Linked DNA regions of Rattus norvegicus. The protein of the gene in region 2 interacts with the protein of the main gene of each other region in a pairwise test. Links are inferred from orthologs where the notes say so. Each region holds a gene or a part of one and is shown on either strand. Other genes may lie near its edges.

The links. The genes of interacting proteins can lie anywhere in the genome.
Region 1: the proteins of Ehd3 (region 2) and Micall1 interact in binary tests that used the Homo sapiens proteins (3 or more experiments, as listed by UniProt). The link is inferred for Rattus norvegicus from reciprocal best matches to the Homo sapiens genes EHD3 and MICALL1.
Region 3: the proteins of Ehd3 (region 2) and Rbsn interact in binary tests that used the Homo sapiens proteins (3 or more experiments, as listed by UniProt). The link is inferred for Rattus norvegicus from reciprocal best matches to the Homo sapiens genes EHD3 and RBSN.

The regions. Positions count from the first base shown.
Region 1 is NC_086025.1:112,576,456-112,581,673, forward strand, and holds part of Micall1 (MICAL-like protein 1), read left to right. Parts: intron 1-2,677; coding exon 2,678-2,812; intron 2,813-3,339; coding exon 3,340-3,466; intron 3,467-3,585; coding exon 3,586-3,676; intron 3,677-3,798; coding exon 3,799-3,872; intron 3,873-5,218. UniProt on the Homo sapiens protein: Lipid-binding protein with higher affinity for phosphatidic acid, a lipid enriched in recycling endosome membranes. On endosome membranes, acts as a downstream effector of Rab proteins recruiting cytosolic proteins to regulate membrane tubulation.
Region 2 is NC_086024.1:27,392,776-27,397,993, forward strand, and holds part of Ehd3 (EH domain-containing protein 3), read right to left. Parts: intron 2,190-5,218; coding exon 1,777-2,189; intron 1,292-1,776; coding exon 1,127-1,291; intron 566-1,126; coding exon 38-565; 3' UTR 1-37. UniProt on the Homo sapiens protein: ATP- and membrane-binding protein that controls membrane reorganization/tubulation upon ATP hydrolysis. In vitro causes tubulation of endocytic membranes. Binding to phosphatidic acid induces its membrane tubulation activity.
Region 3 is NC_086022.1:126,242,667-126,246,938, reverse strand, and holds part of Rbsn (rabenosyn-5), read left to right. Parts: intron 1-1,504; coding exon 1,505-1,609; intron 1,610-2,340; coding exon 2,341-3,489; 3' UTR 3,490-4,272. UniProt on the Homo sapiens protein: Rab4/Rab5 effector protein acting in early endocytic membrane fusion and membrane trafficking of recycling endosomes. Required for endosome fusion either homotypically or with clathrin coated vesicles.

The DNA of each region.
Region 1 (5,218 bases), on a different chromosome or scaffold from region 2:
AGTCTACACAAGGTGACAGGCATATGATTGCTCTAGAATGTAATCTTGAGTGAAGCACAAACAGGAAAGACAACTCCTTCAGTAGAGACAGCACCTCTCGCTGACCACCTCCTGTGTGTGTAGGCTCCTGAGGACACAGGTCTCTGTTCTTGAGGGGCCCATGGTGTGGTTGGCAAGTTTTGAAGTGACTCCCGTTTGTAGCCACACTGCTTTGTAGGAGCCGAGGTGAGCCCCCATCAGTTTCAAGGGTGCAGGACCTCCTGGGCTCCTTTTTTATGGGCCCAACCCTTTATGGGCCCTTGCTGGTCTCTGTCTCCTGTCAACATGAAGTGGGTGTGAGGAGGATCTCCTGGCTCCTCTCTCGGCATCTGGGTTCTGTAGTTCTAGGCTCATTTGTTTCTCAGAACCTGGGCTTGTCCAGTCTTATACATATTGTGGCTCTACAACACATGTAAGGCGGCTGTCTTTGTAGCTGGCATTGATGGCCCACTTTTTCTATATGCCTGGCCCTCTCTGGGCCACATCCACTCATGCAGGCTCTGCCGCCTGCTATTGACGTCGAGGAGGCCTGCTTCTAATAATAAGCCACTGAGCATGCCAAGTTTCCAGACTGGTCTGAAGAGCATCTTGGTGGTGGCAAGTGGAGTGCTAGGGGAGCTTTAAGTACCCTCCCAAGACCATTATTCATAGATTTTCGTGTTTATTTTAAATTCTGTGTATCTATGGGTGGGTTTATGCATGAGAGTGCAGTGCCGATGGTAGCCAGCAGGGGCGGCGGCGTGTCTGATCTCCAAGAGCTAGAGTGACAGGTGTTTGTTAGCCATCTGATGTGGGTGCTGGAACCCTGACTTTGGTCTTCTGGAAGAGCAGTATGTGCTCTTAGCTATTAAGCCATCTGTGCAGCCTACCCAGCTCCATTTGTACTGCAAGCATGGCTGTATGGAAGGCTGCCTTGAGGCTGTTCTGCAGCTTAAAATGCCTGGAAGGGCTCAGAGGCCTTGTGCTTGGCTGGACTGCCTTTGGGTGTTGATACTACAGAGAGAGAGAGAAGGCAGAACCCCAGGGGTGCTCCTAAGGAACCCAATCCCACCCCTGAGAGTAGGAGAGAATATCAAAAGCAGTTGGAGTGGGAAATGGGGGTTATAGGTGACCACAGTGTCTCTGTCCCTAGGTGGGAAGCTGCTCCTCCATGATGCTGCTGGGCCCTTGGGAACATAACCCCTCTGAAACATAGCTCAGCTGTAAAGGGGCAAGCAACAAGTGAGGCTTTATGTGTGTTTGGTACCAGGTCTAGAACCCAAGGCTTTGTGTTTGTTAGCTCTCTCTCTCTCTCTCTTTTTTTTTTTTTTTTTTTAAGATTTATTTTATTTATTATATATAAGTACACTGTAGCTGTCTTCAGATACACCAGAAGAGGGCATCAGATCGCTTTACAGATGGTTGTGAGCCACCATGTGGTTGCTGGGAATTGAACTCATGACCTCTGGAAGAGCAGTCGGGTGCTCTTAACCGCTGAGCCATCTCTCCAGCCCATCTCTCTTTTTTTTTTAAAGATTTATTTTATGTATATGAGTACACTGTAGCTGTCTTCAGACACACCAGAAGAAGGCATCAGATCCCATTACAGATGGTTGTGAGCCACCATGTGGTTGCTGGGAATTGAACTCAGGACCTCTGGAAGAGCAGTCAGTGCTCTTAACCACTGAGCCATCTCTCTAGCCCTCTTTTATTTTTTTTTCTGTTTTTTTTTTTAAACTATTTAATTAAGTGGCGGTGCTCAAACACTCAAGAGGCCGAGGTAGGTGGATCTCTGTGAGTTCAAGGGCAGCCTGGTCTACAGAGTGAGTTCCAGGACAGCCAGGGCTACACAGAGAAACCCTGTCTCGGAAAACCAAATCAACAAACTACCTTCCTTTAGCTCTGCATTTTGGACAGTCCCACACACATGACACGCATGTTTATGGGAGCAGTGGGTGGGAGTCTGTGTCTAACAGTTCAGTTTATTTTAGTTCCCCACCCTCTAATCTCTGCTCAATCTTTCAGCCCCAGCTCCTGCATTCAGACGAAGGGTTTTTTTTATTTTTCCCACCATGTAGACCTGGCTGGCCTAGAACTTACAGTGATCTGCCTGCCTTTGCTTCTGCCTCTCTGCCTCTCTGCCCCTCTCCCCCTCTGCCCCTCTCCCCCTCTGCCCCTCTCCCCCTCTGCCTCTTCTCTCTCCCTCCCCTTCCCCCCACCTCTCTCCCTCTGCCCCGACCCCAGTCTCTCTGCTCGGCCACCACATCTGGCTCAGACAGAGCCGATTCACCCAGCCATGCCCTTGAGCAGACAGCCATGTGAGGTGTGAGAGCTCATTGGGGAGCAGTCTGGATGAGCAGACAGCCATGTGAGGTGTGAGAGCTCATTGGGGAGCAGTCTGGATGAGCAGACAGCCATGTGAGGTGTGAGAGCTCATTGGGGAGCAGTCTGGATGAGCAGACAGCCATGTGAGGTGTGAGAGCTCATTGGGGGAGCAGTCTGGACGTGGAACTGGAGCTGAATGAGTGTGGAAAGATGGAGCTTGGGAGGTTCTGTTCTTGCCTGACCCTCCCTCCTGCCACTTGTGTCCTGACCTGCTTTCCATAGTCCTGTATGATCACACTTCTCTGATTGAACTGTCTCTCATGCCTACTTTTAGTCTTCCTGCAAGGAGAATCCTTTCAACCGGAAACCATCTCCCTCCACATCTCCAACTGTAAGGAAGGCCACCAAAGGAGCCAAGCCTGTGAGGCCACCTGCCCCTGGACATGGCTTTCCACTAATCAAGCGCAAGGTGCCAGCAGAGGGACCCTAAAACCCATCTGGCCTAGGCCCAGCACCCTCCCCTCAGCAGCTTTTGGCTTCTGGGACCTGTGAATGGCCCAATAGGAAGGCTGACCCGAGCCTAGGGATCCTGCTATCCAGGAGCAGTGGGTGGGTGTTTGTGTGTAACAGTTCAAGTGCAGAGCGTAACCGTGGGAGAAACTTGTGCTTCTCAGAAGGGAGCTTCCGGGCTTCTCCCTAACCTGTTCCACTAGCTCACTGCCCAACAAAGAAACCCCTCCTGAGTGACAGGGCAGGGGAGGCTTCCCTCTGGAGCAAGGACTTACTTGAACCTCTCATGGGGAGTTTGTCAGACCTTGACTTGGAGGGTTCATGGCCATCCCCACTCCTCACACCCGTGGTGCTTTCTTGTCCTGCAACTTTGGGACAGGACCTGGGTTCCTAGAGCCTGCAGTGCTAGGGGACCCTGTGAGCTGGAGGAGAGCCGGTGGAGGGGACAGCCACCGCTCTTTAAGTGACCAGAACATTACTGGGCAGGTCCAGGCTGACCAGTATATTCCTGAAGAGGACATCTATGGTGAGATGGACAGTATTGAGCGCCAGCTGGATGCCCTGGAGCACAGCGGAGTTCTGTTGGAGGAGAAGCTGCGTGGTGGAGCCAATGGTGAGGGAGCTGCCAAGAGGAGCTGGCTGAGGGTTGTGGGTTGAGGGGAGCCCCTCCACCTGGGAGTGCGGAGCTGTGAGGGATGCCAGCTCTGGCCTTAGTGGGGTTCTGGCTTCCAGAAGGCAGCGAGGACGACATGCTGGTGGACTGGTTCAAGCTCATTCACGAGAAGCATCTACTAGTGCGGCGAGAGTCGGAGCTCATTTATGTGTGAGTCCTGACTGCCCTGCCTGCTTCCCGCCGGGTCTGAGGGGAACTGGGAATTTGTGCCGTCTGCCATGGCGGCACTGCCTGCAGATGAGCGTTCACTGCCTCTTCATCCCACCCTTCAGCTTCAAGCAGCAGAACCTGGAGCAGCGCCAGGCTGATGTGGAGTTTGAACTCCGGTGCCTTCTCAATAAGCCAGGTGAGCCTGGGACCCAAAGATCCAGGAGACCCTTGCCAGCCTGGGCCACAGGAGCCTGCCTTTAAAACTAGGGAGGTTGCTTCCTAAGTGCTCTGGAACTAGCTCTGTAGGCCAGGCTGGCCTCAAACTCACAGAGATCTACCTGCCTTTGTCTCCTGAGTGCTGGGATTAAAGGTGTGCACCACCACTATCCAGCCTCCAAATCTGATTCTTAGAATCCACGTATTTTTGACTCTGGGCATGGCAGGAACCTCGGGTGTGCTGAGGGTTGAGGGCTGAGCTGGGAAATGGAGTGGAAGAGTGCTTGACTTGTCTGTGGTTGTGGCATGTACTGAGCCATAGCTGCTGGCAGAGATCACAGAGCCATGGAAGGATGCAGCGCTCTGACGTCTTTCCTATGTGCTGATGTCATCAACCGTCACTGCCATTTTAGAGCTGAGGTTATAGAAGACCAGGACCAGAGCCCGGGCTTTTTCCTCATTTATGTAGGAGATGCTAGCTCTGTCTGCCCATGCCTGCCCCACACCAGTTCTTACTGACTCTGTGAATGAAGTATTGCCTTTTCATTAACTTGGGCACTTGGAAGGCTGGGATGGCCCCAAGTCACAGAATGTCCTTGGCTTCCTTTGCCAACTGTGAGTCACTTTCACCTCAGCAGGAGGCTGGGAGTGTGGCCACCTCTCAGGAGCCTGGTGTAACTAGAGTGAGTATGACCGGCAGCCCCAAGGCTGTGGCTACACACCCTGCCCTAGTCAGCTTGCCCCTGATGCTGCTTTTGAAGATTAGGCTAGTTTATGGGACCCTGAGGGAGATGGGCCCATAGATGCCACAAAAGGCCACCATGTGAGAGGTCAGGCTGCTTGGGTTCAATGACTTTGTCTGGGTAATGCTGGCAAAAGGCTTAGTTTTCTAAAACTTCAATTTCCCTGCACGTAGACTAGGAGCTCAACCTACCCAGGCTCCAGGGGTGAGGACACAGGAGAATTGGAATTTAGGTAGTGGCTGTGAAGCCATTTGCTGTCCCCAGGATTGGGCTGGGTTTCCTGTCCCTCAAGGTGAAGTGGGAATGGGGTAGTTCCTGGTAGCTTAACACATGAGTGGCACCAGATATGGGCACCCAGCCTTGCAGGCCCTGAGGGTGGTCCTATTGAGACATCAAGCATCAAGAGGCCTGGAAGAGGGAAGAATCTGGAGGGTGGCAAGTGTTAGTGACACCAGGGGGCCCATTGTCCCTCCGTTTGCCCTCCTCCATGGCCGTGGGGGCACATTCCGCTTTGTGACTTGGACTGAACTGCTTCTGCAGGTGGACTCCTGGGAGTTCCTTGTCCTCCCTGTGCTTGTTCACT
Region 2 (5,218 bases):
TCTTTTGACACTGTCTGTCTGAAGCTGCCTGGCTCTCTCACTCCGCTACTTTCCTCTTAGATGGAGGGAGGAGATGGGCAGGCAGCTCACTGGGCAGCTCATGCCCCTCTAGCTTGACTTTGATAAGGTGGTTGGCCAGGGCAAACTCCTCATCATCCAACATGCCATCCTTGTCAATGTCGGCTAGCTTCCAGATCTTCCCCAGGACGCTGTTGGGCAACTTGGAGCGCACCATCTCCTTTTTGGCATTGGCGCCCGTAATCTTGCCATCCACCGGGGATAAGGTGTAGAAGATTTCATCATACATAGGCTTGTCCCGGGCCACCACCCACTCGGCATCATCAATGCCCTCCCCAGCTCCCTCTCCATAGCCATGCCCAAAGGGCCCTTGGAGGGTTCCCTCAAATGCTCCGCCCTTCACCATCTGAACAGGCCGCTGGGTCTCTTCCTGGCGTACCAGCACCATGAGCTGGGCAATGTCATGGGCCAGCATGTCATCAACCACTTCTAGCAGCTTGCTCTTCAGTGGTTGGAATTTGCTGAAGTCCTGGGCCTGCAGCTGATCCTGGGAAGAGAAAGAAAAGGGAATCCAGTGGAAGGAGATGTTCATATCAGGGAAGGTATCTCCTATTAAAGATAGAATCCTTGCCCAATTATCTTTCTAATGAAAGTAGTTAGGCCAATGGGCTGCACCAGGGGAGGGGAGCAAGGACTGGATGGGCTAAGGATAGGTCTTTTATGAAGGAGCAGAACAAGAGCTGGGGACAGGGAACAAAGTCAACTAGGGTTGGTTTGTGTCACAGACTGTTCCTAGGGAGTTCAGAGGTTAACCTAAGCACTTAAAGGTGCATTATCCTAGAGATGGTGGAGACGTTGAACATCTAGCCTTTACTAGGGCTTCACTATGTAAGGGCTTCAGTGTCATCAAACACACCTGTGCCCTAGGGGACAACTGGCTGTTTCTGTCCAGTTTGGCTATGGCATTTGCTGTGAGTGATTGTGTCTAATGCCACCTCCTTGCCTTATGACTCTGGCTTCTCCCAGGAGCTCTGTCAGCCCCTTCATTCTCTGGCAGTCAGCTAACAAGATGTTTTCTTACAGCCATAGGGTCCCTGACCCTCATTACCTGCATCCTCTTCAGGTTGGGGAAGTCCCCAGGGGAGATCTGGTGTTCTCGCTCAATCCGGCCATAGATCTCAGCCAGGTTGTTCACCAGCTCTTTCTTTTTGGTGTCCTTCCCAAACACTGAGGGCATCTCCTTTTTTAGGGAGCTGATGATATAGGCATGGACCTGACAAAGAAGGACAGAGGACAACCTCAGCAGAAGCCTGAACTGGCCCTTCAAGTCCCTCCTCCTGACCCTGCTTCTGAAGCATTTCTTTCATCTAGCACATTACCGGGCTAGCCTGGTGAGACTATCGAGAGGGAAGGTCACGGTGGAGGGGGTGAGAACATTGCTGTTGTAGACACAGACAATGGCAGTTTCTGAATACTAAGGTATCTGGTAAAGTGACAAGGGCTTTCAGACTCTGTTTCTCTTCATCTTCCCCCAGCCCATTCAGTTTATAAATGTAGAAAACAGCACTGAGAAACTACAAAAGCACGGACCTCCTGGGGATCACCGAGGGAGCCATGGAGCCAAGCTCCAAACTGGCCATCTGATCCAGAGCCAGCAGCCATAACCACCCACACTCTCCTATCTAAGGGACCTCAGTTCTCACAACTGATTTCTCCTTTAGAACCTGTCTACATTGCATTTACTTGTGGCAGGGTTACCTTGGCCAGCCGGGCTCTCTTGATGAGATCATTGAGCTTTCGAAGAGCAGCATTACGGGGTAGACTCTGAATGTCTTTGAACAAGTCTTGCTCTTCAGCTTCAAAGAGCTTCCTGTTGTCAGGAATGAGGAGAGGGTGGGACCAGAAGGAGCCAATGTAGACCCGGATCACCTCTGGTGTGTTCACAATCTTCCCCAGGGACCACATGAGGGCCCCATACACCCGCATCAGCTGCTGGGTCTCAATCTGGTCAGCCTTGTTCAACACCACTCGCATCTTGTCCTCGTGGTTCTTGAGGGCCTTGATGACTTCTGAGAACTCATCAGAGATGTCAAGCTTGTGGGCGTCAAAGAGCAGGATGATTCGGTCCACCCGCTCAGCAAACCATTCGAGGACAGCAGCAAAATCATACCCTGTGGTGGATTGACAGTCAGTGGGTGGAGCTTTAGGGCATGGAAGTATAATGAAGGGGCCAATGTAAGATAACACAGTCTTGAAAATTGCCTTTGTGTCCAGATTCTGGTTCCTCCCATTGGACCGTTTGAGCAAATTACTGTGTGTGTGTGTGTGTGTGTGTGTGTGTGTGTGTGTGTGTGTGTGTGTGTGTGTGTTTGCAGTCCTAGGAATCAAAGGGCCTCATGCATGCTATCCAACTGTTCTTCCACTGAGTTACATGCCCAGACCTTCTTGGCCATCTATAAAATGGTCACTAGAAAGTATTTGGCTAGTAGGATGATGGAGACACTCAGGAAATGCTGGACTCTGTTACAGCATCACTACTCTCATAAAGACTGGCCACTATCTATATATCTTATTGAAGTTAGGGGACAGGGATCATGATGGGAACAGAATTCTGGACATTATTTTCATGCTGATATTTTGAAATTGGGTCTTACTGTCTTGCAGTAGCCCACACTGGCCTTGAACTTTCTCTATAGGCAAGTTTAGCCTTGAACTTGAGATCCTCCTGCCTTTACCCTCCAAAGCGCTGAGGTTCCAGGTGTGCATTATCATGACCCATTTGGATACCTGTTATGAATTTGAACAAAGACCCAGAAATTCTTCACAAGGTACAGGCAACAAACCAGAAGATGCAGGTTACTGATACATGTTCAGACCATGCCCATCTCTGGTCGGGAAGAAGTCTGAGTTCTCGGTACAGACTCAAGTGACTTATTCTCCTATAGTTCACAAGATCGCTTCCTTCCTCAACTGCTGCAGCCCCACCCAAATTCCCAACTCCTATCCTGTATGGGAGTCCTTCCTGAGGATGTGACTGGACCTCTGGCACCTGGTTACCAGCATTGAGCTACTTCAAATCCAGCTGGTTCCAGGAAATCTAGAACTCCTGCTCCGCTCAATGCCAAGCAACTGTGGGTCTGGGAGAGGGAGACAGTTTGGTTATGCAGTGGTCTCCAAAGGACTCCTATTGGGGGCTTGGTGTCAGCTGGTAGGCTTTTGGGAAATGAATGGATCATGAGGGCTCTGAAATAACCACTGGATTAACTCCTTCGTGGATTCATAATACCAAGGGCATTACTGGGAGATAGGTGGAAACCGGCAGACAGGGGTTATGTGGAGGAAGGGTTCACGGAGGTGGGTGAGTGGTGGGCAACCTTGGAAAAACAGACTTTTATTCCAAGCTCGTCTTTTTCTCCATTCTGGCCCTTAAAAGGTTAGCAACACTGCTCTGCCATGTTCCAATAACTTGCTTGATGTTCTGTTCTTACCAAAGCCCAGAAACAGTGAAGCCAAGAGGCCATGAACCATGAAACAGACCTGACCATCCCTCCTTTTAAGTTATTAGCCTTAGATGCTTGTTACAGTGATGAAAAGCCAACCACAGAGGGAGAGGCTACCCCTGGAACTCACCTAATAGACAACGATGGCTGCCCAGGAAGCCCCAGGGGTCCACCTGTCTCAGCTTCCTCAGCGCCAGCATTGTAAGGGGACACATGTGCTTCTAAGTCCAGCTTTTATTATATGGACTGTGGGGCTTAAACTCAGGTCTTCATGTTTGCATGACAAACGCATTACAAACTGAGCTGGGTCTTCCTAACGGTGTTTACCCATTACCCTCCTAATTTAAGGAACTCTCCCCATAGCCTCAGCCTGAGCAAGCCTGCCTTATGCTTCTCCATCTCTCCTGCACCCAGGGCACGGGGGGGAGGGGGGGGCGCTCCATCAGCATATGCTGCTCACGATTGACATATAATCTTGTTCTGTCTTTTACATCTAGGAAACACTGAACAGGTCACCTCTGGACCTTTAGTCTTCCAGTCTCTAAATCCAGACCCACAAGTGCTTTGGCCCCAGGGTTGCGATGATCAAATCTAAGAGGAGTGGCTGACACCACTTACTTATGACCTTGGTCAAATGCCCAGTCCCTTCATAAAGAACTTCTTGGTGTGTTCCCACAGGACGGAGCTTGCTTGGCGTGTCTGTGTCCCTCTCTGTAGGCTCACTGGCCTGGGTAGGCTCCCTGTGGTTTCTGCTTAGTTTATTAATTTGATATGCTGGGCAATAGAATCCCCTTGCTAATCCTTGGTCTCTGCTTCTGGGATGGATGACCTTTGAACTTCCTTTCTTGGTTTACAGTTCCCGGCTTCCAGGCCCAGAGGTGTGAGGACAGGGGGTGCAGTAATGTGGAAGTGAGACACAAGGGGAGAGGAATGCTGAAGGCCGCTGCCACTGGGGCCTTAGGTTTGCCTACAGGAAGCCTGCTGGGGTCTGCGGACAAACAAACCTTTCCTATGAGCAATGAGGCCTCCCATCAATCCTCCTACTTTTGCAAACTCTGCAAACTCTGGTAAGCTGCTATCAAATGACAAGTGGTGAGGAGCCTCCTCTGAGGTGTGTGGCTGTGAAGACAGTGAGTGAATCTGAAGCCCTGACTCTGCAAGCTCCCCGGAGCCTCACCCTCCAGGGCTCCTGGCTACTCCAGGGTGTGTGACCTTGAGGATGAATTGTTAAATTGCTTCCATAGCCTGGACTTATGTGCATGCCCAGAAATAAAGGCGCGGGAAAGGCAAACACTGGATACAGTCAGGAGAGGAGCACAGGGGTACCCTTCCCATTTGTTTTCTGAATGGCCTCCTGCAAGTCTGACCGTCTTTGACTTGGCTGTAAAACTGTGAATTGTTACAACTGGCTGGATGCAGAGCTCATGATGTAGCCAGGGAAAGCATACCTGACCACAGGAGGAGAGAGAGCTCAGTCTGAATGGAGACTGCAAACCATGTACAGCGTGCCCAAGGTGACCGTCAGATGGCGATTTCCCTTTATCTCAGGAAGGGCTCTGAGACTCTGGGTAACTATGCCTGAATACATGCAACAGCTTACGGTCTCTGAATTGTAGATCAGGGGGTGGAGGACAGACTACAGAAGTGGACCTTCCTGGATTCTCTCTGGAATGACTGCTGGCACCCAGGGATCCAGTGGA
Region 3 (4,272 bases), on a different chromosome or scaffold from region 2:
AAGCCTAGTGTTCTTTATTTTTAGATTTTCCTTTATATTGTATGTATGTGTTCTGTATGTAAGTTGAAGCACATGTGACTTCATGTGCTCCAGAATCCACAGAGGGCATTGGATCCCCTGAATCTGGAGTCACAGATGTTGTGAGCCACCTAATATGGAAGCTGGGAATGGAATTCAGGTCCTTGTCAACCCTGAGCCATTTCTACAGGCACAGGTCTTGTGCTTAAAACAGCTTTTAGTCCTTTGTCTCCAATACAGTTGTTCTTCATTCTGGTGTGTTTTCTTTCTTAATTTATTTTTCTTTATATTTTTATATGCAATATTTATAGTTCATTGTTTAGTTTTCTCATTGCTATGATTAAATACTTGATAAACATAAGGAAGACTGTTTGAGTCAGTTTGAAGTCTGCCTTGATGGGGTCATGGTGGCAGGAGCTTGAGACAGCTGGTTATGTTGTGTATGCAGTTACGAAGCAGAGAGAGGTGAGCGCTGGTGCTCAGCTTGCTTTCTCCTTTTTATTCAGTCTGGCAGCCTAGCTTGGACCCACCCACACCAAAGGGGGTCTTTCCACCTCAGAGTTTTCTGGAAAGACCCTATGGACATACCTAGAGGTGTGTTTTGATTCTAAATCCACTCAGGTGGACAAGAAAGGTCAGCCCTCACAGACACTCCTGCAACTCTGTCTCGGTTCCATCACTGCCTCTCCTATGCTTGTTTTGGCTGTGGAATGCTACTGTGGCTCTGTCTGGTTTTCTTTATTGAACTATTTCATTTTAGTTGGGGAATTGATGGCTTCTAATTTTGCTACTATGATAAGTGATATTTTCTCATCAGGGAATCTTTCTGGGCCATTGGCTAATGATTCAAGAACAGCAGGTTTAACATATGTGACTAGATCTGAGTTGCATTTCTCTACCTCTAATATCTTCTGCATTATTAGAGTCCCAGGATGACTTGGTTGCAAGTCACTATAAGGTGACTCCTCACCTGGCAGTTGTTTCTTGCTCAAAGCATCTTAGGAAGGCCAGAAATTTTAGAATTTTCATTAGTTTTTTGAGTCCTGTCAATTTCTTGAAGTTTCATGACTTTTTGGCCTCAGTCCTCTCTCCAGGAGGGGTCTTTCTTTTAGTAGAATGTGAATACATAGCAACAAATTATAAAACATGTGGTATGTTAGAGAATATGAAATAGGGAGAGATCTAGGGGCGGTAAATAAAGAAAAGGGGTACCAGGGACTGCTGGGGTCTAGGTAGATGTGGGCGGATGGGCTCAGCGCACAGCCTCAGAAAGAAGCTGGCACCGGCCTGGGGACATCTTCAGATCTGGTGCAACCATCTCATAAGGAAAAGGCAGGTCAATTTGAAAGGTGACTTCCAGTTAGCAGGCATGTCCTTCCTGTCAGTGGTTGGAGTGGCTTGCCCTAAGTGTATAAGCCTTAAGGTCCAATTTTTCTCCCCATCTTCCCAAAAACACTTGTCTAAATTGTTTATTACTCTCCTACAGGAAAAGTTATTGGGTTTGATGTCACTGCCAACCAAAGAACAGTTTGAAGAACTAAAAAAGAAAAGGAAGCAGGACCTGGAGCAGAAGAGGACCATGGAGCGACAGGTGCATGGGGCTCAGGCACCTAGCGGCTTCGACTTCCCTGCTCTCATACCCTACCCCTTGGCTGCTAAGTCTCTCCATTTCAAGCTGGCTTCTGTATGGCCTTAGAAAACAGTTGTTTTCCCACTGAGTCCTAGTTTTATTTAGTATTTCTGTTGATGCTCTCCTGTCTAGACCACTACAGGGATGGCAGTTTTCCCTCTGTTAGGCTTGCAGGCCAGTCCAGGAATACATACTGTTAGACAATAGAGGTGCAGTAGTGCATGCCTGTATCCCGGACCTCAAGAAGCTGAGACAAGAAGGTTTTAAGTTCTGGACCAGTTTGTGCTACATAGTGAGGCTATATCTTTTAAAGAAAATGAGGGTGCTGTTTTATACTTCAGGAATAGAATACTTATTTAGCATGCTTAAAGCACCCTGGGTTCTAGCCCCAGTACTACAAAACCCAAAATGAAAACATAAAGCAGTGTGTTTATTTTAGTATTGTCTGAAATTCTAACCTTGATGGAGATAAGGGTGTCAGTCTTTGGAAGTTTAAGGAAAGTATACAGTTGATGAAACTAAGAGGGAAAGAATCTTTTTAACTCACATTGCTTTATTGTTGAAATCTAAGCTTGTCTTTGTTTGAGCAGTTGAATTATCTTAGTATTGCTGAGACCATAGAGGGTAGCAGACAGGGAAGGCTGCTGTCTTGGTGACCATGGTGACCCTGGTGATGTGTGATGTCTCTGCAGGCTGCTCTGGAGTCCCGACGGAAGCTTGAGGAAAGGCAGAGTGGTTTGGCATCTCATACAGCCAATGGGGACATGAGGTCTCTTCAAGGCATACCTGCCCCCTTGCGAAAGGCTGAGGGCTGGCTCCCACTGTCAGAAGGTCAGGTACAGAGTGAAGACCCCGACCCTCTCCTTCAGCAGATCTATAACATTACATCGTTCATCAGGCAGGCCAAGGCTGCAGGCCGCACAGATGAGGTGCGCACACTTCAAGAGAACCTGCGGCAGCTGCAAGATGAGTATGACCAGCAGCAGACTGAGAAGGCCATCGAACTGTCCCGGAGGCAGGCTGAGGAGGAGGAGCTACAGCGGGAGCAGTTACAGATGCTCCGCCAGCGGGAGCTGGAACGAGAAGAAGAGCAGTTCCTGGCAGCATCTCTGCAAACACGGACTCGTGTTCTAGAACTCCGAGAAGTTTTACCCTTCCAGTTGGAGCCCATCCGAGGGCCTCACACTGATCTTGCCTATTCCTTAGATGAGGACTCCTCCCCAGTTCAGAGCAGCACAGCTCCTGATATCCTTTCACCTGGCTCAGCTCTAGCACCCATCCATGTGTGGTCTGGGTCCCCAGCCCTTAGCCAAGAATTACTCCTTCAGAGCACCATATCACAGCCAAGTAGTAAGACCTCTCTCAACCCGTTTGATGAAGAAGACCTCTCCAGCCCTATAGAGGGTGCTGTCAGCCCTGCTGCTGTAGAGGCTTTCCTGGGCCCTCCAGCTGCTGTCACCAAAGAATACAATCCTTTTGAGGAAGATGCTGAGGAAGAGGAGGTGGCAGAGTTGGGGGCAGGGAATCCCTTCACTGACCCAGACAGTCCAGCACCCAACCCCTTTGATGAGGATGACCATCCCAGGTCTGCCAGTCCAGCCGCCCCTGGAAACCCTTTTGAAGAGTGTCCATGCACCAACCCCTTTGAGGTAGACAGTGATAGTGGCATGGAGGCTGAGGAACACATTGAGGAGGAGCTGCTCCTGCAGCAAATTGACAACATCAAGGCTTACATCTTCGATGCCAAGCAGTGTGGTCGAATGGATGAGGTTGAGGTTCTGACGGAGAACCTCCGGGAGCTGAAGTGCACCCTGGCTAAGCAGAAGGGGGCCCCTAACTGACAGCAGTGGGCAGGAACTGGGCAGAGTCTTTGGTAGCATGATATCAAGTGGGAGGAGGAGATGGGCAGGCGCCTGAAACGCACACAGGTGGGGGTTGGAAATAGTAGTCTCTTGCTGTGCACTTTGAGACATTTCCACTATAGTTGAACAAGAACAGGAAAAAAATCGGCATTATTTGCTGGTTTTTCTGTATTTCTTTTAATGAAGTGTTCCCTTTTCAGGGGACTTTATGATTTTATTTATTGAGATACAGAGCTGGGCCAAGGTAGAAATGGCTCCTGGGTACCTCTTTGTCCATTTTCTGCTGACTGTTCTTGGTCATTATGCAGTATTATAGGGAAGCCCTTAACAGACCCCTTCCACTAGCCAAGATAGGCAGGGGCTCAGCAGGAGTCTGTCCTGACTTGGTTGCTTCCTTTCAGCACCTCCCTGCTTGGACTATCTCTTGGACACTTAGGGAGATGCTGTGTGAAGGCAGAGTCTAAACCCAGTGGGCACCAGTGCCTCTTTTTACAGATGGCAGGAATGTTGCCAGTGTTGCCCCCTCCCAGTTAAAGGAAGTAAAGTTCCCAAGTGTGAGGGTGGTGGGGTGGTGGTGTCAGTGTGAGCTTGACTATGAGACAGTAGTGATCAACTTCTTGGTGGATGTTATGGTTTGGGAGAACTTTCTACTTGTGCAGTTGTCAGCCCCTGGGGTTTGATAGAACGACCACTATATAGGTCACATTCAAGGGCCTGTGACTTGGGAATTGTGACTGGTTAGTTTCTGTGGAATATTAGTAG